2 linked regions of the Nothobranchius furzeri genome follow. The protein of the gene in region 1 binds, or shares a complex with, the protein of each later gene. Links are inferred from orthologs where the notes say so. Each region holds a gene or a part of one and is shown in the gene's direction. Other genes may lie near its edges. The genes, in order: cnot2 and cnot6l.

Region 1 (12,377 bases):
TTACGGCGACGAGCATGAATCAGGTAATGATCCCGATGAGGACGACGAGCATGCAGTTGAGCATCCCTGAGACGGTTTCTGACAGTTTGTGCAGAAATTGTTTGGTTATGCAAACCAATTATTTCAGCAGCTGTCTGAGTGGCTGGTCTCATACGATCTTTGAGGAGAACCTGCTGGACGTGGAGGTCCTGGGCTGGTGTGGTTACACGTCGTCTGCAGTTGTGAGGCCGGTTGGATGTACTGCCATATTTTCTGAAACACCTTTTGAGATGGCTTATGGTGGAGAAATGAACATTCAATGCACGAGCAACAGGTCTGGTTGACATTCCTGCTGTCAGCGTGCCAATTGCACGCTCCCTCAATGCTTGTGGCATCTGTGGCATTTTGCTGTGAGACAAAACTACACATTCCAGGGTGGCCTTTTATTGTGGGCAGTATAAGGTACACCTGTGCACTACTCATGATGTCAGATCAGCATCTTGATGTGTCACACCTGTGAGGTGGGATGGATTATCTCAGCAAAGCACAGATGCTCACTATCACACATTTAGACTGATTTGTGAACAATGTTTGAGAGAAATGGTAATATTGTGTATCTGGAATGAATTTTAGATCTTTAAGTCCATCTCATGAAAAATCGGAGCAGAAACAAAGGTGTTGCGTTTATTTTTATTTTTATGAGCGTACAAAAATGATTCTTTTTAAATCCTTAAACTTAAAGATAAAGAAAAAACAGATTCTTGCTTTTAATGTATTTTCTTGGCTTTTGTTAAAACGTCTCAGATGGCATCCTGCTGAATGGCACTTACTCCTGTTATAGCCTTTTGCTGGTACACAGGGGAGCCACAGCACTGCATTCATTATCTATTTCAAACCAAAAGCTTTTGGTGATGATATTAAGGCCCATTAGTGGTCTTTATTCAAAACCATACCCCTCATTTATCAGATGAATTATGCATTTGTCTGGATAAGGAGTGCACTCGGTGACTTGGGCCATCCATCACTGGTATTAAAAACCTAACTGTTTTTAGCCTCGGCAGGTGCTGCAGCTGTTTCAGACTCTGAAGACTTGAAACTCCTTTAGTCTCATTCTCATCTCCGCAAAAGGAGACGTGAGCTGAGATCATGTCGCTGGGGTCTTTTTCTCTATGATGATGGAAGGAACAAGGCTCAAAAGAGTGTGAACGAGTCCTGAAAACACTTTACTGAGTTTATTAACTACAACACAAACTTGCTTTTACAAATTTTCATAATACTTGCAAAATAATGTCAAATACTTTGAGAAATCTGTCCTGCACCTGCTGCGTTCTGTCTTCACTAACGCTACACCGCGACTGTTTCCTGTCCAGGACGCCACTGAAGTGACGGACTTCATCATTTGGCTCTTAGTCATTCTGCTTCTCCTCAGATTGGACATCTACCACCTCATCTGTGATCTCACTCACTGCTTTAGTCGCATCGTCTTCCAGGTCATCATCTGAGCTGTCGGCCCAGCGCCCGACCCTCCTGACCCCGTCGCCCACCGTCGGGGCATTAATGCAGGGGTTGTGGTCGTATATGATAAGTTTTAAGCCGCTCATGTGGGACAGGCTTGGAAACTGGCGTATTCTGTTTCGGTCCACATCAATAACAGCCAGAAAGTGCATTTCTAGTAATACTGGCGGAAACTCTGTCAGGAGGTTCCCAGCAAGCCAGATACTTCGCAGTTCCTCCAGCTGTTGTATATTGTTTGGCAGCATGCGGATCTGGTTATAACCGAGGTGAAGGGTCTTCAGATTCGTGAGCTCACAAACAACCTCAGGGAAATCGGTGAAGCAGTTTGTCTCCAGCCACAGAGTCGTAAGTTCCCTGAGCTCACTCAGTTGTTTGGGAAGATAGTGCAGCTTGTTGTTGCCCAGGTAGAGGATGCTGAGCTGGGGCAACCTGCATACAGCTGCTGGGAGCTCCTCGAAACAGTTGAAGTCAAGAGCCAGGAGCTGCAGCTTCCTCAGGCCCTGCAGCTCAGCAGGCAAGCTGCTCAGGTTGTTGTCACTCAGGTAGAGCTTCACCAGCTCATCGAAGACACAAGCAGCAGCAGGCAGCTGGCGCAGCTGGTGGCTGCTCAGATCCAGAGTTCGGTCCAGCGGCATCTCTTTCAGATGGCCCACCAGGAAGCGCTGACAGCGTTCGGAGGGAATGAAGGCGATGACGCCCCGCACGGCGTTTCCCATCCTTCCCAGTTCCCTTCACACACAACTTTACAGGAGTGTGAGACAAACGCACCCGATCAAGCTGTTGGAGGCTTTATGTGAGTTTCATAGTGAGCCATTAATCCGTCTCCACATTCAGTCTATTTCTATCAAAGTAAAAGAAACAAAGAAAAAAAGGAAATTAGCAACACTTCACAACTTTTATTATCCATCCATCCATTTTCTTTTCCCACTTATCCACGCAGGGTCGCTGGAGGACTGGTGCCTATCTCCAGCTGTCTTTGTGCAAACAGGCGGGGTACACCCTAGACAGGCTGCCAGTCCATCACAGAGAAACATAGACACACACACACACACACACACACACACACACACACACACACACACACACACACACACACACACACACACACACACACACACACACACACACACACACACCTACGGACAACTTAAAGAGACCAATCAACCTGGAGAGGTCTCACGCTTGCACAGGGAGAACATGCAAACTCCTTGCAGCGAGACCAAGGCAGCAGCACTAACCACTGCACCACTGTGCAGCAAAACTTTTATTATTTCTATATTAATTTTAGTAACAAAACTACATAAATAAAATAATTTGGTACAGTTTTGATGTGATTAAAATCTGATTAAATCCTTTTTGAGTTAAGGTTTTTAAATTATTATAGAAATATTTTATTTAAGAAGAAAAAAAGAAATGGAAAACCTACTTTCCAGGATCTTTCTGTTCATATCCGTGCCTCTCAGCATCTCCAGCAGTCATTTATTGTTTATTGTACTTAATGGGCTGAATGCATATTGTCCTCCCGGAGCAGACACTCCCTGGTGGTGTCCTCTGCTATCTCTCAGTGGTGTGGAGCTCTGCCCTGACTTTCATGGCAACCACCAGCTCTCTCCTCCCCATTTGTGCCTAATGACTTTCCCCCCTTCTCCAGAATGACACAAGTGGTGGAGAGAGATGAGGAGGGGCCCTGTGCTTTTCAACAGAAATGCCATAAAATGAAGCTAATGTAATTTATGTTCTGCACGGATCAGAGTGAATTCACTTCCGAGTTTGTGCTCCTGCCTGTTTGATGAGCTTACTTTGCTTTTGGTGACTCTTTGAGTGCCAGAAAACATTTAGCAAAGAAAACAAAGGTGGATTTTTGTTTGAATTTGAGTTTTATCACAAACAATTTGTATTCATTAATAAATTATATTGATTCTGATCATTTGAGACATTTTGAAAACCTGCCAAATGCTGATAATGTGCATTTCTCTGGTTGAGAGGCTCAACGTCAGTTGAAGGTTTTTTCTTCTTCTTTCTTCTTCTGAGAGTAACAGCTCATCGTGTGTCGTCGTGCATGTCAGCCCTGCCTTCCTGAGGTGTGATCTGCTCATGCAATCTCACACACTTTCATTAGGGCTATTTTCCAGCAAGATAAAATGGAAAGGAATTTCATTTTCCTTATCAGAGAGGCCAATACTTGACCCCATCTGCTTTCACTCACCGGCACCCTGCTTATAGCACTTCCCTGCTTCCACTTAATCCCCAAAAGGCTTCCCATAATAACTCAGTGGGAGGACCAAACTGAACTTTATCCACTCAGGAAAACCATTTAATGCAGTTAAGTTAGTTATGACCATACTTTTGTTCTCATTTACCAACAGGGAGTTTGGTGCAGTAGTCACTTCAGCCCGCTTTGCATGCTTTTTCATTTATAATTACAACTATACTGCATGAGTACCACATTTAAATGTTGCACATCAGACTGTTATATATATATGATATTTTAAGATCATTCCAGTACAAATATATTATATTAATGGCATTTCTCCTCAAATTACTGTTAAAATACATATTTTAAACCTTTTTTTGTGAAACGTGCAACTTCTGTAAACACCAGGAATCATCAACATCTACAACTGAAAGATAATTCTGTTTCTAACCCTAATTAGATGTTAATTTCCTGCAACAATGCTTGCGTTTTTAACATAATAAGGCTTTATTAATTTGGGCGAATTAGAAAAGCATAAAATCTATGATTAAACAAATGTCTAAAAGGCCTGTAAATCTTCCTTAATTTTTTTTTCAATTCAATTCTTTATTTCACTCAAAGTTTAAATATACAAAATATACAAACTTCAAATCAGAATATAAGCATTCAAGTGAAATAATTTAATAATAACCTTTCTTTATTCTTTATTTATACTTACATAAGGTGTAATACTTTGAGGTGTTTAGAGTTTATCTGATTTAATTATTTGGCAAAACAATGAATTAATACATTATATAGTGTTTTAGAGACGTTCTTGTTCAGAACTATGCAGCTCTTTTATTGTCCAAAGTGGGAGTGAGGTAATAAACTATTAGTTCAACAGTAATGATTTTTACTGCATTTAACAACAAAAATAAATTAGTTTTTAGGGGGAAAAATTGTCAACAAGCAGCTGAGAATTATTAGGGCAAAAAAGACTAAAACTCAGAGTTGTTCAGATATAAAACACAATTCTCAAATAATGTAGTTTATAATGTTTAGTTCAAGTATCTGTTTAAATAATAGATTTATAAACCAAAGGATGGGAAAAAGGCCAAGAGGGAGAAACTTCTTCTTTCCCTATATGTGTGAGTGAGGATTTAATGAGACTTCAGGGTAAAAGAAACCTTTCTTTTCTTTTATAACTGATTACATTTTTGGTCAAAATGAGTCAAATGCAATTAAATTACAAACACGTGCAATTTTGCAAGAAGGTGAAAAAGGAATACCGATAATCACACATAATTTTATTACAGATGGCTCTATTTGTTAATTTTTTTTTACTTTATATGCTATTTTAAAGGTTAAATTAACATTTCACTCTAATTGTAACAGAAAACACATCACAGTCAAATCCAGTATTTGTATTTTTTTCTTTTTTTCCCTGTAAAATCTTCATCATTATTAGAATATTTGTGATTTTAGATGCGATCGCTCGTTGAAGACATAGATATATATAAACGTATGTTCATTTACATGTGTATGGTTGAGGACACCAGCAGCCGGCTCGGGTTTGTGTACGGAAGTGGTCAGCAGGGTCAGAGGGTAAAGGCTCTTTCCACTGGAAGTACACACAGCCATCTTGGATCTAACGAAGCGAAGGGAAATTGATGCGGTGAGCCTATTTTACTTATTATCAGTCTTGTCGGATGGTGTTGTATAAACGTGACCTCTCGACTGGAGCTTTGAGCTGGGTTTCTCTCGTTTTGATCCGTGGCAGCTCGTTAGCCTTTAGCATCAGCGGGTTGCTAACGCTGCAGGTGCTTGCAAACGGAGCGTAGCCGATAACACGGACAACTGACTGTAGATATAGAAACACAGAGACTATTGCAGGTAAATACAGACTGCTGCTGGATCGTTAAATCGTGGTGATTTGTAACGTAAACGCTTCCACTATTCTCACGGTTAAAGTGGCTCGTTCACAAACTGAAACTAAGCTAACAAAACACCTAGCATGTTAACGTTAGCTACTTAGTTTCGGCTAACTAACATGTTAGCATTGCTGTTATAGTTTTCACTCCCACTAAGTTTTCATGAATATTACAACAAATTCAGCTGTCAAATGAAAGTTAATAACCACCTGGGCTAAAAACTAAACTATTGTTTAATTTCTCCAACATTTATATATGTCAGTGTTTTTCAAATGTCATCTATGTAATAAATTAGATTTGAGGACAATTTCGTAAACCTTTCTGAATTTTCTTATTGAACATTAATTGCTTTTTCACTCATAATCCACCTAGCCTTATTGAGTCGGCGTAGTTGATCACTTTCCGTTAATTATTGTTTGTTTTTGAGCCACATCTGTCTCCGTGTCCCATCAAAACGAAACAGTTTTCTATATTTTGTATTTAAGATCTTCAAAAATGATCAAGATGGCAGTTTAAATTTATATTTGAATTCCTCCTAAGCGATTCCCAGCCTCCTATTAGTTGAAAAGTTCTTATTTATAAAAAGACGTGACTTTTGGACGTTAGTTATCAGGTGTAGATTTTAAGCCTTGAGATTTATTTCTACTCAGCTTCTCTTGTTTTTTAGTGTAATGGTCATGTAAGAAAAAAAATACTGGGAAAAATAATAAAAATCTAAAGCCAAACTTTGAAAAACTTCACAAAAAGTTGAAAGACTGTTCTTCAAAAGCACATGTAAAAGGTTAATGGAAAGTCTGCCACAGCCTAACAGGAAACATACTTGTTTTGTGGTGGTTTCTGCTTAAAATTAATTTTCTGTTTGTTTTGTGATGTTGTGATTTGAAAACCTAAGTGTGTCTGAAAAGCTGAGTATTATTTACCACAGTCTTCTGGGCTGGAGCAGCGCCCAAGTTGCCGTGGCTTGCCAGAGAAAGAGATCGACAAACAGGGCTCAGGAATATCTTAAAAAATGAGTTTGAGAAGTTAATCTGGCCTCCAAACTCCAGTTGTTAATTCGATGATCTTGTCTCATTTATTTTGCCCCCTTTAGTCTCCACCTTTACTAAAGTTCCCTCATTCTTTAGGTGACAAAAGGCATGTTTGGTGCTAGAAAGAAATTTCCAGAGTTCGTCGAGGCCGTCGACAATGACTTCCCAGATGAAATGTATTACAGCCAGGGGTCGATGTTCCCACATCGATCCGACAAAGATGTAAGTCTCGTCATATTTCTGTGTGGTCATGTTATCTGATGGGGAGTTTTTCTGATTATTTTTCTTGTTTGTGAATCTTATTGTCCAGATACTGTCTTCTCCTTCACCGTCGTCTGGTCAGCTGTCACAGCTCGGTCCAAGTTTGTACGGTCCACAAAGTTAGTATTTGCTGTTCTATTTGTACCACAGAATGAACTAGTTTCACATTTGTTACAGATCAGTAGTAGACGTGGACTGATCATACAATGCAAAGAATTCTGTCTGGATTATTTAATATTATTTTGGATTAACTTGGTTCTTTTTTTTGTCCAGGTGCAATTGGCTTCCCCGTTAGAAGCTTGGGAAACAGCACACCTCAGTTAAACCGAAATCTCACGCAAGGGTCGCAGCTACCAAGTCATATCACCCCAACAACAGGCGTCCCCACCATGTCACTCCATACCCCGCCGTCGCCGAGCAGGTTTGTGTTTCTGCTACTAATAATTGTAAAATTGCAACAAAATGTTCATTCTTAAATGTGTTTTTGCAGAGGCACGTTACCGATGAGTTCCAGGAACATACTAAATCACTCTCAGGTTGGTCAAGGCATCGGGCTGAGCAGCAGGACCAATAGTATGAGCAGCTCAGGACTCGGGAGCCCCAACCGCAGCTCACCTAGCATCATCTGTATGCCCAAACAGCAGCCGTCACGTCAGCTGTGCACCATAAGCAGGTAGATTTTAAAATCCTTACGTTTATCAACATCCCTCTGTGGACACCGGCTGAAGAACCGGTCTTTTATCTTCTCCGTGCAGCATGTCAGGGTTTGGTATGAACCGCAATCAGGCGTTTGGGATGAACAACGCGTTAGCAAGCAACATCTTCAACGGCACAGGTGGGTAGTTTCTTTTGAATTTCGAAAGGCTGCAAAGTGTCACGGAGCTTCATGTTGCAGTGGAGTTAGTGAACAACTGCTGGCTCTGCAGTAGAATGTGTTTATGTTAAAGTCTGGTTTTAAATCTGAGCAGCACAAAAATGAAAACAAAAGAATAAATGTATGCATTTTATCAATCTTAAAGACAAAATGTATGGTTTTTATTTGCTGCAGTAGCGATTAGTACGTATTACTATAGAGAGTGTGTTAACATGCTGTTGCAGATGGGAGCGACAGCGTGATGGGACTGGATCTGTCAGACTTCCCCGCATTAGCAGACAGGAGTCGACGGGAAGGGACGGGAAATCCAACACCGGTGTCCAACCCGCTAGCTGGACGTGCTCCATACGGTAAGCCAATTATCCCCTAAAGATTTGTCATCTCAGCAGTGGAACTAGTTGCTTCTGTTGGAGTTGTGCTGTCACTTATGTGACTGTTTTACTCTGGGAAATCGTTAAGTTGGCATGGTGACAAAGCCATCAACTGAACAGACACAAGATTTCTCCATCCATAACGAGGACTTTCCTGCGCTGCCTGGGTCGAACTATAAGGACACCACACTGAACAACGACGACAGTAAAACTGTAAGTGAGCATTCTCGTTTCTGCGTTTGTGTCGGGGCGCCGATCAGGAACCTTTCCCGCAGAGTTTTATGTTTCTCTTCTCCGTTTTTAGAACTTGAACTCCACAAACAAGAGCACGTCCAGCACAGATGGGCCCAAGTTCCCCGGAGACAAGACGGCCTCCGCACAGAACAACAACCAGAAGAAAGGCATCAAGGTGTTACCAGATGGTGAGACTTCACAGCCAATCGTATCGCTCCAGTTCCTCTGAGACATCCCTTCTTAATCACACAGCTTGGGTGAGGCAGTTGGGCTCTCTCCCCTGTATTTTGGGTTAAATCAGTATTGGATAAGCTACTATGAGACGGTGTAATTGTTTGCTCTGCGATGTGTGCACAAATGAGTCTAGAAATAAGGATTTGGTTCCACAGTGAGTATTTGCTGTAGATCAGAGTCCATCGGTAGATGTGTGGTTTACTGAGTCTGGATGGTTCTGCCGCTGCAGGTCGGGTTACCAACATTCCCTCAGGAATGGTGACGGATCAGTTTGGGATGATCGGTCTGCTGACGTTTATACGAGCAGCGGAGACCGATCCGGGGTTGGTCCATCTGGCGCTAGGAAATGACCTCACCACGCTGGGACTCAATCTCAACTCACCAGAGTAAGAGCTGTTCCTCCACAGAAACGCTCGCCTTTAAGGTTGGTTTATGCTTGACGCGTCCGCGAGGTCCGTACGACTACGCGCGGAGAAGTTGCGTCATTTTAACAACCACGCCCCTCCACCGCGTCTCCGCACGGGTCAAGATTTCCGCAACGCGCACCTCGGAAAATTTCTAACCACGTGGACGGACGGACGCGGAAAAACATGGCGGACCGGCAAGAACTAGTATGGCAGAGGTTCGTAAATACAGACATTTGTATGATTCAGCTCTCAGAGATCACCGTGATCAACATGTTGTTAAAAATTCTTGGAGAGAAATAGCTCGCACTGTCGGAAAAGACGAGGACGCTGTTAAAAATGCTGGAATGCCATGTTGTAAACAGTAATTTTTACTTCTATGGTGTAGTATTGGATGCATGCCTAGAGCTCCACGCTGCTCCGTTCAGTTTGGGAGAATATTGGCTCACCGCAGAGACAAGCCGCATGAACCATACACGCTGCGAGTTGTGAAGCGCGTTCCATCCGCGAGCCGCATCACCGCGTGGAAAGTGAATGCGTCAAGCGTAAACCAAGCTTTGGGGGTCCAGAGCAAAGTGTTTTTGTTTTTAAGGATGTGTGCTTCTCCTGATTTTAAGCCTTCTCTCTTCAATAGAAACTTGTACCCCAAGTTTGCCTCTCCCTGGGCCTCGTCACCATGTCGACCTCAGGACATCGGTAAGACAGATTGTCAGTGCCGCTTTAACTCAAAAGGCAAACAGCGTAACTTGTACCTGTGCTTCCAGACTTCCACGTTCCTTCGGAGTATCTGACCAACATTCATATAAGGGACAAGGTGATGCACAGCTGCACGACTATAGCACTTTTACACTTTTATTAGCATTAAACTAACATTCCTTACCGTCTTGTCTCTAGTTGGCGGCGATTAAGTTGGCCCGGTATGGTGAAGACCTGCTGTTCTACCTGTACTACATGAATGGTGGCGATCTACTACAGATCCTGGCAGCAGTAGAGCTGTAAGTAGGCCTTTATTACACCGAACATCCAAAACGAGAGGGATCAGGAGATGTGATGTTCTCAGGGACTGAATCCGGATTCTCTTACTCTCCCGTCTCCAGCTTTAATCGGGACTGGAGGTACCACAAAGAGGAGCGGGTTTGGATAACAAGAGCACCCGGCATGGAGCCCACACTCAAGACCAACACCTACGAGAGGGGCACCTACTACTTCTTTGATTGTCTTAACTGGAGGAAAGTTGCCAAGGTAAGACCTGCTAAGTTGAGAGTGTTTTTTTTTTTTTGTACTGGTTGTGGATTAGTCTAAACTCTGCCCAAATCTCTCAGGAATTTCATCTGGAGTACGACAAGCTAGAAGAGAGGCCTCACGTTCCGACGACGTTCAACTACAATCCAGCCCAGCAGGCCTTCTGAGGCCCAAGCAGCTGTTCCTGCACACAGAGCTGACGCCCAGCACCGGCGCTGTGGTTTTTATTCCTCCAGGATTTGGCTGTTAGACTGCAGGGGTTGTGATCACCATTAAAGCTGTCCTGCCTTTCTGAACTTAAATTCTACCCCAAAACACTTGTTCCGTTTTTATTACTCTGTGTTTCAGGTTGTTTTGTTTTTTTTCCTTTCTCTTGTTTTGAGCAGGGTCTGTGTTTTGTTTACGTCTCTGAATCAGAAGCCTGCGTCCTCTCGGCGAGGAGGACTAACTTTGTGGCACGGGACGGGGACAGAACAGAGGTTCCACCTCTTATTTACAGCAAGTGTTAAGAACACAAGCAGGTGGAAAACAAGGCTGTTAGCATTCTCATACACAAGTGAAGGGGTGAAAGAAATGCAATGTTTATTGTTGCACTATATTTAGTAATAAAAGAACACAAAATTTTTTGTGCTTTTTTATATGAACACTCCCCGAGTGTTTTTTCTTTCCCCTTCTTTCTGTATTTCTTGAGTTTACGCATCATTCCCTCATGCAGTCCTTTTAATTCCATCTTTTTTAGCCCTCTGTCTGTATCCATCGTTTCTCCAGCGTCTGTATTTGCACTACCAACCATTTTTCTGTTCCTTCTTTCTCCGTTCGTCTCCGTCTTTTGACTTCTGTGCCGACCAAACAAGGACAGAAATACGAGAGTCTACATTTGTGGAGGATTTCTCGCCGCGGCTGAACTTTAACACCAACTTTGCTCAAGAGCAAACAAACACTTTCCAGTCTTTGTTACGATTTTGTAAGAAAAGTGTACATTTTTGTTCTTTGCATCACACAAATTAGTACATGTATGTATGAATGTGTATATATGATTGCTATATATATATATGTATGTGTATATATATATATGACATCTATTTTGGAGAAAAAAAAAGCCCTGCCTTGTACCTCGGTTTTTTTAATGAGATGAACATGGAAAAGAAAATGTGGATGTAACAGAAATGTTCTGGATCTGCTGCCGTTTGGCGCCATACTTACCTAAAAACAAACTCCTTCATGGAAAGGCCGACTTCTCAACATTTGGCAAAAAAAAAAAGTTAAAAGTAAAAGGGATGCATTTCAATTTAACCTGAACAGACATGAACGAGGACATTTCATAGGGAAATGATAAACTGGCAATTTGCTAAAAAAAAGGAAAAAATAAACCCAATCTTGTATTATTTTAAGTGAAACGCTTCTTTTCTTTGTATTAAAGCAGAACAGGCTTTCCTGAACCACCGTGTCATGTTTATTACTTTTGAGATTTTAAAGTTTTTTTTTTATTTATGAGCTAAATCACGACCACTATGCAGATATTTTACATTCATTAGACCGGTGTTATTTTTTAAAAGCTGCATTTTCACAAACGAACCAAATTTCAACAACATTCTCGACACAAAATTCTCAGGTCGCTAAAAAAAAAAAAAAAAAAAAAAACGAGGACGTTTTTGTTACGAATAAAAAGGTTTAATGACAAAGTTAATGTTTCCACACATTCAAAGAAATATATTAAAAGGCTCCAAAGCAGCAGAAAACTAAAACTTAACCATCTTTAACTTTAGAGTACAGTTAAGTCGAATGATCAAAATGATGCACAGTTCATAAGGCACCCACATTTATTCAGTGTTTAAAATGTTAAAAGAAACAGCACTTACATTTGGCACAAACATAAAATATTAGGAAAACATTCAGGCAAACCTTAAACGATTTGCTACAGAAGTGGAACTTTACAAAATAGCAGATATTGCAGCTGATAACTAAACTACAATCTTCTCTGGAGATGACTTTGTGGGATATAAAAACACCCAGCAGCTTCTCTGGGCGCTCTCCAGTTCTTCATCCTGAAATCTTTTGTGCAGTTTGTGTTGCTTTAGCTGCAGGCTGATTTTTACCCGGCAACACTTTAATAGTTCTGATCCAGTCAGAA
Region 2 (12,377 bases), on another chromosome or scaffold:
TGCCAGCATTTTGGGAACGTTGTTGCCGACCGTGCCTGAGCGTGAGGAGTAATCCAGGATTAATGAAACATCAGAGTTATTTCAGCTCCACTTCACGTTTGAGTCTCACCTCTTTTGCTCTTCGGGAACTTCTTCCTCAGTTTGTTCTTCAGCAGAATCAGCTTCGGCAGAACTTCGGGAGTTGCGACGTAAAAATCAGCCGAAATCTCATCGTCTAAAATCTGGAATCCAAAAAACATTTCGGCTTTTTCCGTTTACACAGAAAAATGTCCTGCACCATTTTCAACAGGTCTGCTGGCATCTGCACATGTGTGTGTGTGTGTGTGCGTGCGTGTGTGTGTGTGTAAACCACGGGCACAAGGTCAGTTAGCTTCAGGGCACCATAATTTTGTTTTTCCTAGAGACGGCTGTCTAGTTAGAAATAAAGAAAATTAAAAAAAATGTAAGAAAACCTAATTAAATCAAGATTTGTGACACACACACACACACACACACACACACACACACACACACACACACACACACACACACACACATGCACGCACGCACACGCACGTTAAAGTCAGTGTTGTAATGCTTGATTCAAGCATTCCATTAAAGATTTACAGGATTTTTTTTACTAAAATTTGAATAAAAATGTCCAAACAAATTTTATTTTACAGATCAAAATGTCTGCATTTTGCTAAAAGTAAATAAATAAATAAAGGGCTGAGAACTTTTTCCTATGAAGTCATTAAAGAGCAAGTCACCCCCTACAAGAAACTTACTGCACTCTCTTTTCATGTTTGAAAAACGCAACAAATGCTGTTGCCTGGCAGACCGAGAGGGCGGAGCCGCTAACAAATACACACACACACAGGCTCACAACAGCATTGTGACATCATAATGTACCAGTTTACATCATAGCATACCTCTTAGCCAATAGCGGTGGCAGATTTAAATTCCAATGCAGTGCAGAGTTTTTACCTGACGACGGCGCAACACTGACAGTTTTAGGCAGAATATTTAAATTTTAACTAAGATACACTGAAGTACCAAATTATTGACCACATGTGTCTACAGCACAATTAGACACACATTTATATAGTTTATCAGCAAAAAAAAGTTGATTTGGGGGTGACTTGCTCTTTAATAATGAGCTTTTCAGCCTCCTGATTTTGTGGTTTTACATCATGTTCGTGTAAAACCTTGAGACAGAAAAGGGTAGAATTCCTTCTCCGGGTCAGGATGAGGTCCTGCTCCAGCGGAGGAGTTTAAGCATCTCAGACTGGACGGGTCCTATCAGAGCTATCTACGGGTTCCTGATATCAGAGTTCACTCCACCAGCAGTGACCATCGACCCCCCCCCCCGGATCGAACGAGGACCTCCACACCAAGGGTGCGTAGACTTGGCACGACAGACTGTGTTTGACGCTGTTTTAATAAACAACTCTCTAGTTTATAACAAACAACAAATTCTTTTACACCAGATTTCACAATTTCTCTCAGATACAAAGAACGGTTGCTACTAGGGGTGGGCAATATAAACGATATAAGGTAGAAACGATATAGTTTTTGGCTATATCGCAATACCGCGATATCACGATAACACATGACGTCACTAAGATGTGCACCCTGCTGACATTGGGGCAACAGAATGGCAGTGACTGCAAGCATGGAGTGGGTGGAGGAGGAGGCCTGTATGCCTCAAGTGGCATATATTTGCCACATGAGGATATTTAAAAGCATGTCACTTTGACATATATAAACAGAGGGAAAAACATATCGCAACATATATCGTTACCGCACATGCTTCAGATTATATCGCAATATAGATTTGAGGCCATATCGCCCAGCCCTAGTTGCTACAACATCTAGCTTCCACCACACCACCTCACATTATTCATATCTTGTCATGTATTAATTATTAGTTTAGGAAAAATAATTAAATTAATTTTATAAACTGCATCCTGACTCTGTCTGAATTAATACGAAGTGTGTTTATGGTCCCTGAAGAAGCAAAGAACCCTAGAATCTTCTGGTTAAACATTGGTAAATGATAAATGACCCGCACTTGTATAGAGTAAGGACTCCAAAGCGCTTTACACTACAGTGTATCATTCATCCATTCACACACACATTCACACACATTCAAAGATCAATCAGGTTGATATTTCATACTTATACGGAAAATCACATCTTATTGGTCATAATTAATATGTGTTAATTGCTACAGTTTTTTTTCATTGAAAATAATTTTAAAATGTGGGGTCTCCATATAATCAGGGTCTAACCATTACACGCCCGTAACAGCAGAGGGCGCCAGGCTGAGTATTCTCCACAGGAGTAAAAACTGGAGCCGAGAAGTCCAGAGCAGAGTAGACTTTTAGTGGGGCAAGTTAGCATACTAAGGCAGAGTAACGACGGTGGCCAGTTCAGCAGAGGTGTAAAACATCACATGCATGGATGTACTGGAAGGCAGTGAGGATGATGTTCTGGGAGGAGCCAGCAGGTGTGGGGATGTGATGGTGCACCGGGGACCGCAGCTGCATGAGAGTGTACAGCGAGGCAGAGGGCATCTGAACAAAAGCCTCATCTGACTTTTGATTTCACACGTCAGCAAAGTTCTGATAGTTAGCATTGAAATAGTATTTTTCTCAGTACATGTTCTCAAATTTTATATAAAAATAGTTTATTTAAACAGTGATTTGTTTTTTTTGTCCTTTCCTGAAGATTAGTCTTGGAAAGGGGAGTCGTCTTATATTCGTGTCACTACGGTAATAATTTTTGTGATTGTTTAGAACAGAAATTAAAATTAAAACTTAACTGAAGAACTGACCAGCTGAACGAGCTCGGCTCCTCCAACAATCGTTGCTCCGTTCTCCTGGGCAGCTGTGGCCTGCTTCGGGTCCTGCAGAGATGGAGGGAGGGGTCTTTCAACCTGGCTTAGGTGAATTATCTAAAATAATCACACTATGTGTGACACGTGGTATGAATAGAAATCATTTAATCACAACAGCAGCCGGGGGCAACACCAACAACGGACAAGGGACACGCCCAATTCATCAACAGCAGAAACACACAATCGTGTGTGTGTATATATATATATATATGTATGTATGTATAAACACACACACATATATATACATATATACATATATATATATAAATATATATAGGTATGTGTGTGTATACATACATATATATGTCTGTATATATGTATGTCTGTATATATATATATATATATATATATATATATATATATATAGGTATGTGTGTGTGTATACATACATATATATGTCTGTATAAATGTATGTCTGTATATATATATATATATATATATATATATATATATATATATATATATATATATATATATATATATACACAGACATACATTTATACAGACATATATATGTATGTATACACACACACATACCTATATATATTTATATATATATATATGTATATATGTATATATATGTGTGTGTGTTTATACATACATACATATGTATGTATACATACACACACACACACACACACACACGGCGGTTGCGAAGATGAAGTGCGGGTTGGGAGAGGAAAGTGTTTACCTCGGTGAAAACTAAAACTTTGTTGGGGTCTGTCCTGAAGGGGTGTGGTAAGTGAACGACGCTGACAAACGGGTCGACTTTTTTCTGTGGGAGACAGAAACAGGAAGGATGTTTGTTGTTGTTGTTGTTGGGAACAGTCAGCAAGCTGCAGGAAGATCAAAGCTTGGGAGGAAAACATGAAGGAGGGAACGTCAGTCAAACGCCACACTAGATAATAGCGATGCAACGATACCACTTGTTTCTAAACCGATACTTGGATCTGAGTACTCGCCGATACCGATACAGATACTTCTACCACACAAAAAAATGCAATGAATTGCAATACAGCCTTTATTTTCTTCTCTGTTTTCAATAGGAAAAGACTGTGAGGTAGATAAAAAGTAATATAAGTGATCACAAAACTAAAATATTAGGTGAACAGAAATGACAAGTTACAGTGAAGTCACTTTCAAGCAACTGCATTGGTATCAGTTACTGGTATCTGTTAACTTTTACCGATACTGCATCGGCACCGATACAGATACCGATACCAGTATCGTATCGGTGCATCCCTACTGGATAACGGTTATCTTGCAGCATTTGAAACCTGAATCTCTGTGAAATTGATGACTTCCTACATGTGGGAGCGTTGGCTCTATGGAAACCAATGAGGAGACAGAGATGCTCTCGGAGGACCGTCTGCAGCCCTGTGATGTGTCACAGCGTTTTTAGCTGACTGAACTGCTCAGCGTACAAAGACTCAGACGCCTCAGGGGTCTCATCTATAAAACGTTACTAGAATCCGTACTAAAACCGTACTTCAGCTCAGCAAAAAAAATGTACTTACGCCAAGTAGGTATGCGATCTATAAAACATGGAGTACACACAGCTGCATGCACTCTCCGCTTTCTAAATCACTCTACCTAGAAAGGTTCTTAGCTGTTTCTGAGCCACATCCCACCCTCACCACGCCCACTTTCTGCCATAAATGGTCAATGCAAAGCGTCTTGAGGATCTCATGCATATACATAAGCCGGCTCGCTGCAGCGCTCCACCATTAATGATGGCGACCGCAGATCAAGGAAGTGCTTTTCCACAGACGCAGAAGTTGAGGTACTTGTGGGTGAGGTGGAGGAATGAAAGGAAGTGCTTTTGCTAAACAAATAAGAGAAAATCCACAGAGTGGCACAGCAGTGCTGAAGCCGTCAATGTTGTGAGTTCTTCAGAGAGATCTGTGGCGGATATAAAAAAACTCTGATACGAAAACTCCAAGAAGAACCTTCGAGAAACAAAACTCATCAAAAGCTATGAAGAAAAGAGAATCTGGTCCTCCAGCAGCAGAGAACCAGAGTTCATGTAGAACAACCACAGGTGACTAAAACTTTTACCGTCACCTTTTTCTCCAGTTGCATGTCCAGCTTCAGGTTGACATAAACGGGCTGGTTGGACGGAGTGAAGTCCAACTCCTGGAACCTCTTCAGCATGTCGATGGCAGAAGCTGCACTGTGGACGCTTCTGGGATAAAACTTCTTAATGTACACATCGTCTACGGGAGCCCACGCCGTCTTCCCATAAGGCTTGTGTCTGCCTGTGTCATCGATGACCCTCCACTCTTTCTTCACCTCCTTCTTTGCATCCTCTGACTTGCGTTTCTTTAGCGCCCTGACAATCAGCAGGAGGGGAGTTAGGCCGAGGAAGGATTGGGTCATGCAGAAAAACATATGTATTCAGCAGCAAACACCGACCAGGCTGGCTTGAAGCAAAAAGAAAACACTGGATGTGAACTTACTTAAACGCAGCAAAAGTCCTGATGGGTGAACTCTTCGGTGCGGTCTGCGATGCAGCAGCATAACCCGGAGCGCTGGAACTCAGCAGCTGCCTCCGACATCCTGCTAAAGCTGGATTAAACACACAAGGGTTTATTTACATCTAATCCTGAGATTTAACCTCTGTTTCTGTGTCATCCTCCTAACATGAAACACTTCATATTCTAGCAACTTTTTACACATTTAAAAACTGCATTTCTGAGTAAGTAGCAGCTCAAATGATACAGCAGCTTCTTTGGCTGCCGTACAACGTCTTCTGTTCAAAATAAGGTGTAAATAATAAATCATCAAAGGAACAAAAGACCCCCGGGTCCTGTTTAACTTGAAGCTAAAGCTTGATGAAAGAAGGTTTGATGAGGGTGGCCGCTCGCGCACCTCTCAGAAGCTTGATGTTGGCTCTAAATTCACTCCAACAGCTGAAAAATGCCCTCAAAAATGGACATTTAGGCTCGATTTAAAGTTTTCAAGGTAGCTTCTTGGTTTAAGACCAAGACTACTACCAATCACAGCTTTCTTTTAACATGTAAACAAGTTTTAATTAATTAAAACCTTATAAACGGGTCTAATCTGGACCAGTTTGTTCCATACTGGGTCACCCACTGGATGCAGCTGAGGAGAGGTGTGAAAGGAGGATGCTGGGGAAGATGACCTCCCCCTTAAAAAGCCCCTCCCCGCCCCCACTGTGGAGACCATGGACAGCTCCTTTACAGGCATCCCAGATGTAGAACTGAACGCTACCGTAGGTCATTCATCCCCTCAGCAGCAAGTGTAGGATTCCCCAGTTTAACTGGTACTGGCATTATCCTGGTACACAACACCACCAATGCAATACTCAGTGTGTGTGTTCAATACCAGATGTACGCAGTACGTTCGTGTCTCTTACTGTACGCTGCATAGTTCTGGAAACACATGTTTCCTTTATTTGTTGTTTTTAGTGGTTGGAGGTTACAATAATAGCAGTGGCTCCCCAAAAGGGTGGCCAGGGCCACACCGGAGGAGTAGGGTTACAGGTAACAACTGGTTTGACCATTAACCCCGGTTAACCCACCGTAAACACGTGTCCAACACCACTAAAGGTGTAAAAAGCAGCGCGAGCCGCACGGACAGAGGGGGGTTCAACCATCAGGACTCCTGTGTTTCAGACAGACACGGGAGCCTAGGTGGGATATTTGCCAAAATGATGGTAGTTACATGTGACTGACGGACAGGTGGGTAAACACAGGAGAAGACGCTAGAAAAGTTAGACTTTTTCACCTTCCTGAAAACGATGTGAGCTAAAGTTAATTAGCATAACAGAGGGGCTCCAGTTTGCAACCACACGTTGATGGAAAACATGTTTCCGTAACCTCTGTGAGCGTTTAGGCTCAGGACACACTAACCGGAAACAGATAGCAGGGCAGCTAAAACGCTAATCTACAGAAAATAACCCAACCGGAAACAAAAAAATAACATTCATGAATTTACCGTTTTTCCTGGATGAGAAACTAATTTCACTGACCTTTCCAAGCTGCCCGCGAGCAGGTTGCCATGTCTGCTTCTGGTGGTCCGTTGTCCGTGTAAAAACAGCAGTTCGCTCAATGGTTCCGCACAAACACACATATTTATTTTTAAAAGGTCGGCTCTAACTTAACCAGTTTACATTACAGGAAACCGTTTAAAAACGTTTCTAAAATCTCATCTAATGTTAAAGATTCACTGATTTAAATGATCGAGTTCAGTATTTGTTTTAAGGTGTGATTAGAAGTAAATGTTGATGTTAAAATCGTGTAAAGTGGCAAAATGAATGAATTGCAAGCATAAGATAAACAAATAAAAATAATGCCGAATCTCTGGTTTTTGCATCGGGTTTTTGTCAAATAAAGTGACGTCAGCTACACGTCACAGATGACGAGTTTAACCAGCTAGCACGTGTCCTTCACATGTTTAGTATCAAACTTTAGCGTAATATGTGTCACTTATTAACAATTAATAAATGAGCATATTTGTAAAGTTTCGTTTGGGATTTATGCTAAGAAGCTAGTAGGCGCGTGCACGACCGCGCTCTGGACTGTCGGTAACGAGCGGAAGCCGCGTTTGTTGTTCTTCCTTCTGTTTCCGAGACGTTCAGGGTTGAACCCGCGCCTGCATGTCGCTGCCAGTTCCCTTCTACAGCCCCCGGATGAAGGTAAACACGTTTTGTATCTAGAGCCGGTTCGCCCGGGCGGCTCGGCGCTAAACCAGCTTAGAGCCCGACTCGGTCCTTGTCCGGTCGTGTCCCCCACCCTAAGCCCCTGGAGCCCGGGGAGCATGCGCCCAGCCGCCGCTGGCTGACTTACTCCAGCCCCGTGCTTCGGGAGCGCTGGTCGGTTACCGTGACCGGTCTTTGCTGCATAGGTAAATGTGTCGCTGACATCCGTGGAAGGTGTCGAATCGGAGCGCGTGTTTACCTTGGTGTCAGGTGTGCCAGCAGCTGGTGAGCGGGCCTGTCCTCTTGTCACTTTTGACACCACAGCTATGTTTGGACACTCGTCCCTCAGCTGCCTGAGCAGTTGTCACTGCTGCATACTTTCCAACACACACACACACACACACACACACACACACACACACACACACACACACACACACACACACACACACACACACACACACACACACACACGGCCCTCTTTCAGCTCCTGAGGCAACATGACCTGTTGGAGTTGTGATGGTGTCTGCAGACACTTGTGACCTGCTGCGCCTGAACCCACCTCACCCAAAGGCCCTGAACGTATTTGCTGTAACTCACCATTCTGAAGTAATCAGGCTGTAGATCCACAGGAACGTTTAAAGATGAGGTTCTACGACGATCATCCTACAAGTGCAGGAAGTCCTCTGGATGACTTTTCTTTATGTGGATAACTTCTGATTAAAACTGTAATCACTGATCAAATGTTCTGCTGGTTTGTTCTGGTTTCAGTGGTTTTGTTGCTCCTCAGCAGGTGAAACCTCCTGAGAAAAATGAGCAGTTTGCTTCCGTCATCATTAACTAAAAAACGCCTCGAGCTTTTTTTTAAACCTTTGAGTTTCTTATAAATTGTTCTTCTCTTGTTTTCCACATTTTTTTAGTGCTTGAAATAAAAGTTGGTGTTTTCTTTTACGATTGCCACGATAACTCGTGCTCCTGGTTTGTCCTGCAGATTAACAGGAATGCCAAAGGAGAAATATGACCCCCTAGATCCCCGCAGATGTTACACCATCATGTCAGCTGAGGAGGCGGCTGGTGGGAAGAAGTCTCACTGGGCTGAGCTGGAGATCTCTGGTCAGTCTGCATTTACTTCCAGTAAAACACACTCTGGACGTTATATCCAGAGAAAGTCTTGTCCATGTTTTCAGTGTCGGGGTCAGTTTGGCCCACTGTGTTCAGAAATGTTAGTAAAATGAAGCTCCGCCACCTACACAGGAAGGGTGCGGAGCCTGAGCAGCTCGTTATGGACCCTCACCCACCTGACGGCGCTCCACATCAACGACAACAACCTGACTCGTATCCCACCGGACATCGCCAAGCTGCCCAACCTGGTCTACCTGAACCTGTCATCCAATAAGCTCCGAAGTCTGCCCGCCGAACTGGGCAACATGGTTACTCTCAGGTGGGTGGAGTTCTGACCCCTGACCTTTAACTCAGCTGCAGTGTGGGTGGGGTCGTCCGTCGTGTCCGACAGTTTCAACCGAACTGATGCTAAAGCGGTCATTTAAAACCCTGAATCAGGTGATTAAACCAGTCAGACATGAACACAGGTCAAGGGTGAGAAAGGTGAGACCCTCCCACGTGTGCGTACACACACACACACACACACACACACACACGCACGCACACACACATACGCACACACACACCTGTCTGTAAGGACGGACGTGGGGGGTGCTGCAGTGTGTGTGTGTGTGTGTGTGTCTGTGCATACATACACATAGACACACACACATGCACACACACACACACACATGCACACACACACACACATGCACAGACATACATACACACACATACGCACACATGCACATGCACACACACACATGCACAGACACACATACACACACATACGCACGCACTCACACACACATGCACAGACATACATACACACACATACGCACACATGCACATGCACACATGCACAGACACACACACACACACACACCTGTCTGTAAGGACGGACGTGGGGAGTGCTGCAGTGTGTGTCTGTGTGTGTGTCTGTGTGTCTCTGCATACATACACATAGACACACACACATGCACACACACACACATGCACAGACATACATACACACACATACGCACACATGCACATACACACACACACATGCACAGACACACATACACACACATAGACACACATACGCACGCACGCACTCACACACACATGCACAGACACACATACACACACACACACGCACGCAAACACACACATACACACACACATGCACGCGCGTGCACACACACATGCACGCACACACCCTCCCCAGCCAGCTGAGGTGGCTCGGGCGCCTGGTCAGGACGCCTCCTGGTGAGGTTTTTCGGGCATGTGTATCTAGCGGTGGGATTTGATCAGTTTTTATCAATAACAACAACCTTGTCGATTCTGTCCATCGATCCAGTTCCTTATCAATTCCAGAGAAGTTCAGTAGGTGGGCAAGTGGCTCGGGAGAGGGCAGTGTGGGCCTCCCGACTCGGGCTGCTGCCCCGCGACCCGACTCCGTATGAGCGGATGAAAATGGTTTTAAATGAACAAGTTAAAAATGATGAATAACACGTCATAAACAGATGTTTGAAGTCTGGACTCAAGTTCTGCAAGAACTTCTAAATCAGCAAAACGACATTATAATTCATGTCCTGCGTGACCCTGAACACGAGCGTTAGACGTGAAGGATGCCACCATGAGAGGTTGTTGAAGCTTCTTCTCCTTGCAGGGAATTGCTTTTGAACAACAATCTTCTACGAGTCCTGCCTTATGAACTCGGGCGGCTTTTCCAGCTCCAAACCCTCGGGCTCAAAGGTGAGACGCTCCATCAGCAGCTTAACGGTTATGGATGCTGACTTCATGGATTAGGAGGAGAACTCACCTGTTTGGTTCTGTGGCAGGAAATCCTTTGTCCCAGGACATCCTCAACATCTACCAGGAGCCCGACGGAACCAGAAAGCTTTTGAACTACATGCTCGACAATCTAGCAGGTTCTCCAGCGTTCTAAAGCTGCAGGTGTGTTCTCACAGGTAGGTCCGGATAAACGAGCTCTGATCCGTCATTGTCTTCCCTGTTTCCAGTTCACCCGGAGCAGCTCCCTCAGAGACCGTGGATCACTCTGAAAGAGCGAGACCAGATGATTCCCACAGGTGCGTTTCCATGGAAACCAACCAGCTCACCGAGCACGTTTGATGTTTTTATGCTTTTATTCTATTTTGGTTGAGAAAGCAGAAGATCCATCTCTTTAGGGGGCTGGCCTCGCTTTTAGTTCTCACAATTAAATCTGTCGTTTTCAAAAGATGAAGTCGGAAACTCGTTTGGATTCATATGAAACCCGTCTGAGTCATAAAATAAACCCGAACCGTCGGTGCTTTTCCGGAGTCATTAAGCGAGCGTTTGTGTTCCAGCGGTGTTCACGGTCATGTGCTACAACGTGCTGTGTGACAAGTACGCCACGCGGCAGCTGTACGGCTACTGTCCGTCCTGGGCCTTAAGCTGGGAGTACCGCAAGAAAGGCATCATGGAGGAAATCACCAGCTGTGACGCCGACATCATCAGCCTTCAGGTAAACACGCACAGGCTCCACCTTTTCCTCCGGACTTTCCCGTTAAACGTCCTGATGGAGATCTGCTCCTGCAGGAGGTGGAGACGGAGCAGTACTACACGCTGTTTCTGGAAACGCTACGGGACCGTGGCTACGACGGCTACTTCTGTCCCAAGTCTCGTGCCAAACTGGTTTCGGAGCAGGAGAGGAAGCACGTGGACGGCTGTGCCATCTTCTTCAAGACAGAGAAGTAAGTTCAGGAGCCTCGGAGCGCCGGGAACGCTGCATGGGAACCTGAATCTCTGATGTGGATGTGAACTCTCTGCAGGTTCTCGTTGGTGCAGAAACACACGGTGGAGTTCAATCAGGTGGCCATGGCCAACTCGGAGGGGTCAGAGGTCATGCTGAACAGAGTCATGACCAAAGACAACATCGGAGTGGCTGTTCTACTGGAGGTCAACAAGGACATGTTCTCTGCTGGTAAGGACAGGCAGTCACCGTGACAACCACCTCCAGGTGATTAAAGGACATCTCCTAATTTCCTGTTTGTGTTGTGAGGCATGAAGCCGCCGCAGGAGAGGCAGCTGATCCTGGTGGCCAACGCCCACATGCACTGGGACCCAGAGTTCTCAGACGTCAAGCTGATCCAGACCATGATGTTCCTGTCGGAGCTGAAGAGCATCGCTGAGAGAGCTTCGGACTCTGTTACGACGGGCTCGCCAACCTCCGACCCCTCCTCCATCCCCATCGTTCTGTGTGCTGACCTCAACTCGCTGCCCGACTCCGGTACAGCCGTAGGGAGTTCCGTTGCTCCTCCTACAACCAGAGCTTCTTGATTGTTGCTTTTCCAGTAAAACGCTCCTGTTCTTGGATCCAGGTGTGGTGGAGTACCTGAGCAACGGAGGAGTGGCTGAAAACCACAAGGACTTTAAGGAGCTGCGCTACAACGAGTGTCTGACCAACTTCAGCTGCAACGGCAAGAACGGGAACTCCAGCGGCAGCATCACACACAGCTTCCAGCTGAAGAGCGCCTACGACAGCAACCTGATGCCTTACACCAACTACACGTATGACTTCAAGGTACCCAACGTCCTCTTGGTTCTTCTATCTTCTCCTGGTCCTACCATGTCCATGTTCTCCTGGTTCTACCGTGTCCTCTTGGTTCTTCTACGTTCTCCTGGTTCTACCGTGCCCTCTTGGTTCTTCTACGTTCTCCTGGTTCTACCGTGCCCTCTTGGTTCTTCTACATTCCCCTGGTTCTA

The links.
Region 2: cnot2 (region 1) and cnot6l share a complex: the UniProt entries of both Homo sapiens proteins name them as parts of the CCR4-NOT complex. The link is inferred for Nothobranchius furzeri from reciprocal best matches to the Homo sapiens genes CNOT2 and CNOT6L.

Annotation. Positions count from the first base shown.
Region 1 is NC_091744.1:77,734,477-77,746,853, forward strand, and holds cnot2 (CCR4-NOT transcription complex subunit 2), read left to right. Parts: upstream 1-5,237; 5' UTR 5,238-5,342; intron 5,343-5,427; exon of another isoform or gene 5,428-5,560; intron 5,561-6,722; 5' UTR 6,723-6,734; coding exon 6,735-6,848; intron 6,849-6,936; coding exon 6,937-7,006; intron 7,007-7,160; coding exon 7,161-7,308; intron 7,309-7,377; coding exon 7,378-7,560; intron 7,561-7,642; coding exon 7,643-7,722; intron 7,723-7,985; coding exon 7,986-8,111; intron 8,112-8,220; coding exon 8,221-8,345; intron 8,346-8,436; coding exon 8,437-8,554; intron 8,555-8,829; coding exon 8,830-8,986; intron 8,987-9,638; coding exon 9,639-9,700; intron 9,701-9,768; coding exon 9,769-9,818; intron 9,819-9,898; coding exon 9,899-9,999; intron 10,000-10,101; coding exon 10,102-10,246; intron 10,247-10,326; coding exon 10,327-10,413; 3' UTR 10,414-10,890; downstream 10,891-12,377. Other genes in the region: lrrc10 (leucine-rich repeat-containing protein 10), read right to left, coding at 1,386-2,210. UniProt on the Homo sapiens protein: Component of the CCR4-NOT complex which is one of the major cellular mRNA deadenylases and is linked to various cellular processes including bulk mRNA degradation, miRNA-mediated repression, translational repression during translational initiation and general transcription regulation.
Region 2 is NC_091750.1:40,059,555-40,071,931, forward strand, and holds the start of cnot6l (CCR4-NOT transcription complex subunit 6-like), read left to right. Parts: upstream 1-7,411; 5' UTR 7,412-7,541; intron 7,542-8,535; 5' UTR 8,536-8,545; coding exon 8,546-8,657; intron 8,658-8,798; coding exon 8,799-8,985; intron 8,986-10,299; coding exon 10,300-10,385; intron 10,386-10,471; coding exon 10,472-10,561; intron 10,562-10,651; coding exon 10,652-10,720; intron 10,721-10,978; coding exon 10,979-11,136; intron 11,137-11,210; coding exon 11,211-11,365; intron 11,366-11,443; coding exon 11,444-11,595; intron 11,596-11,673; coding exon 11,674-11,901; intron 11,902-11,992; coding exon 11,993-12,195; intron 12,196-12,377. Other genes in the region: mrpl1 (large ribosomal subunit protein uL1m), read right to left, coding at 1-35, 110-221, 2,819-2,890, 3,573-3,656, 4,946-5,213, 5,341-5,449, 6,876-6,906. UniProt on the Homo sapiens protein: Has 3'-5' poly(A) exoribonuclease activity for synthetic poly(A) RNA substrate.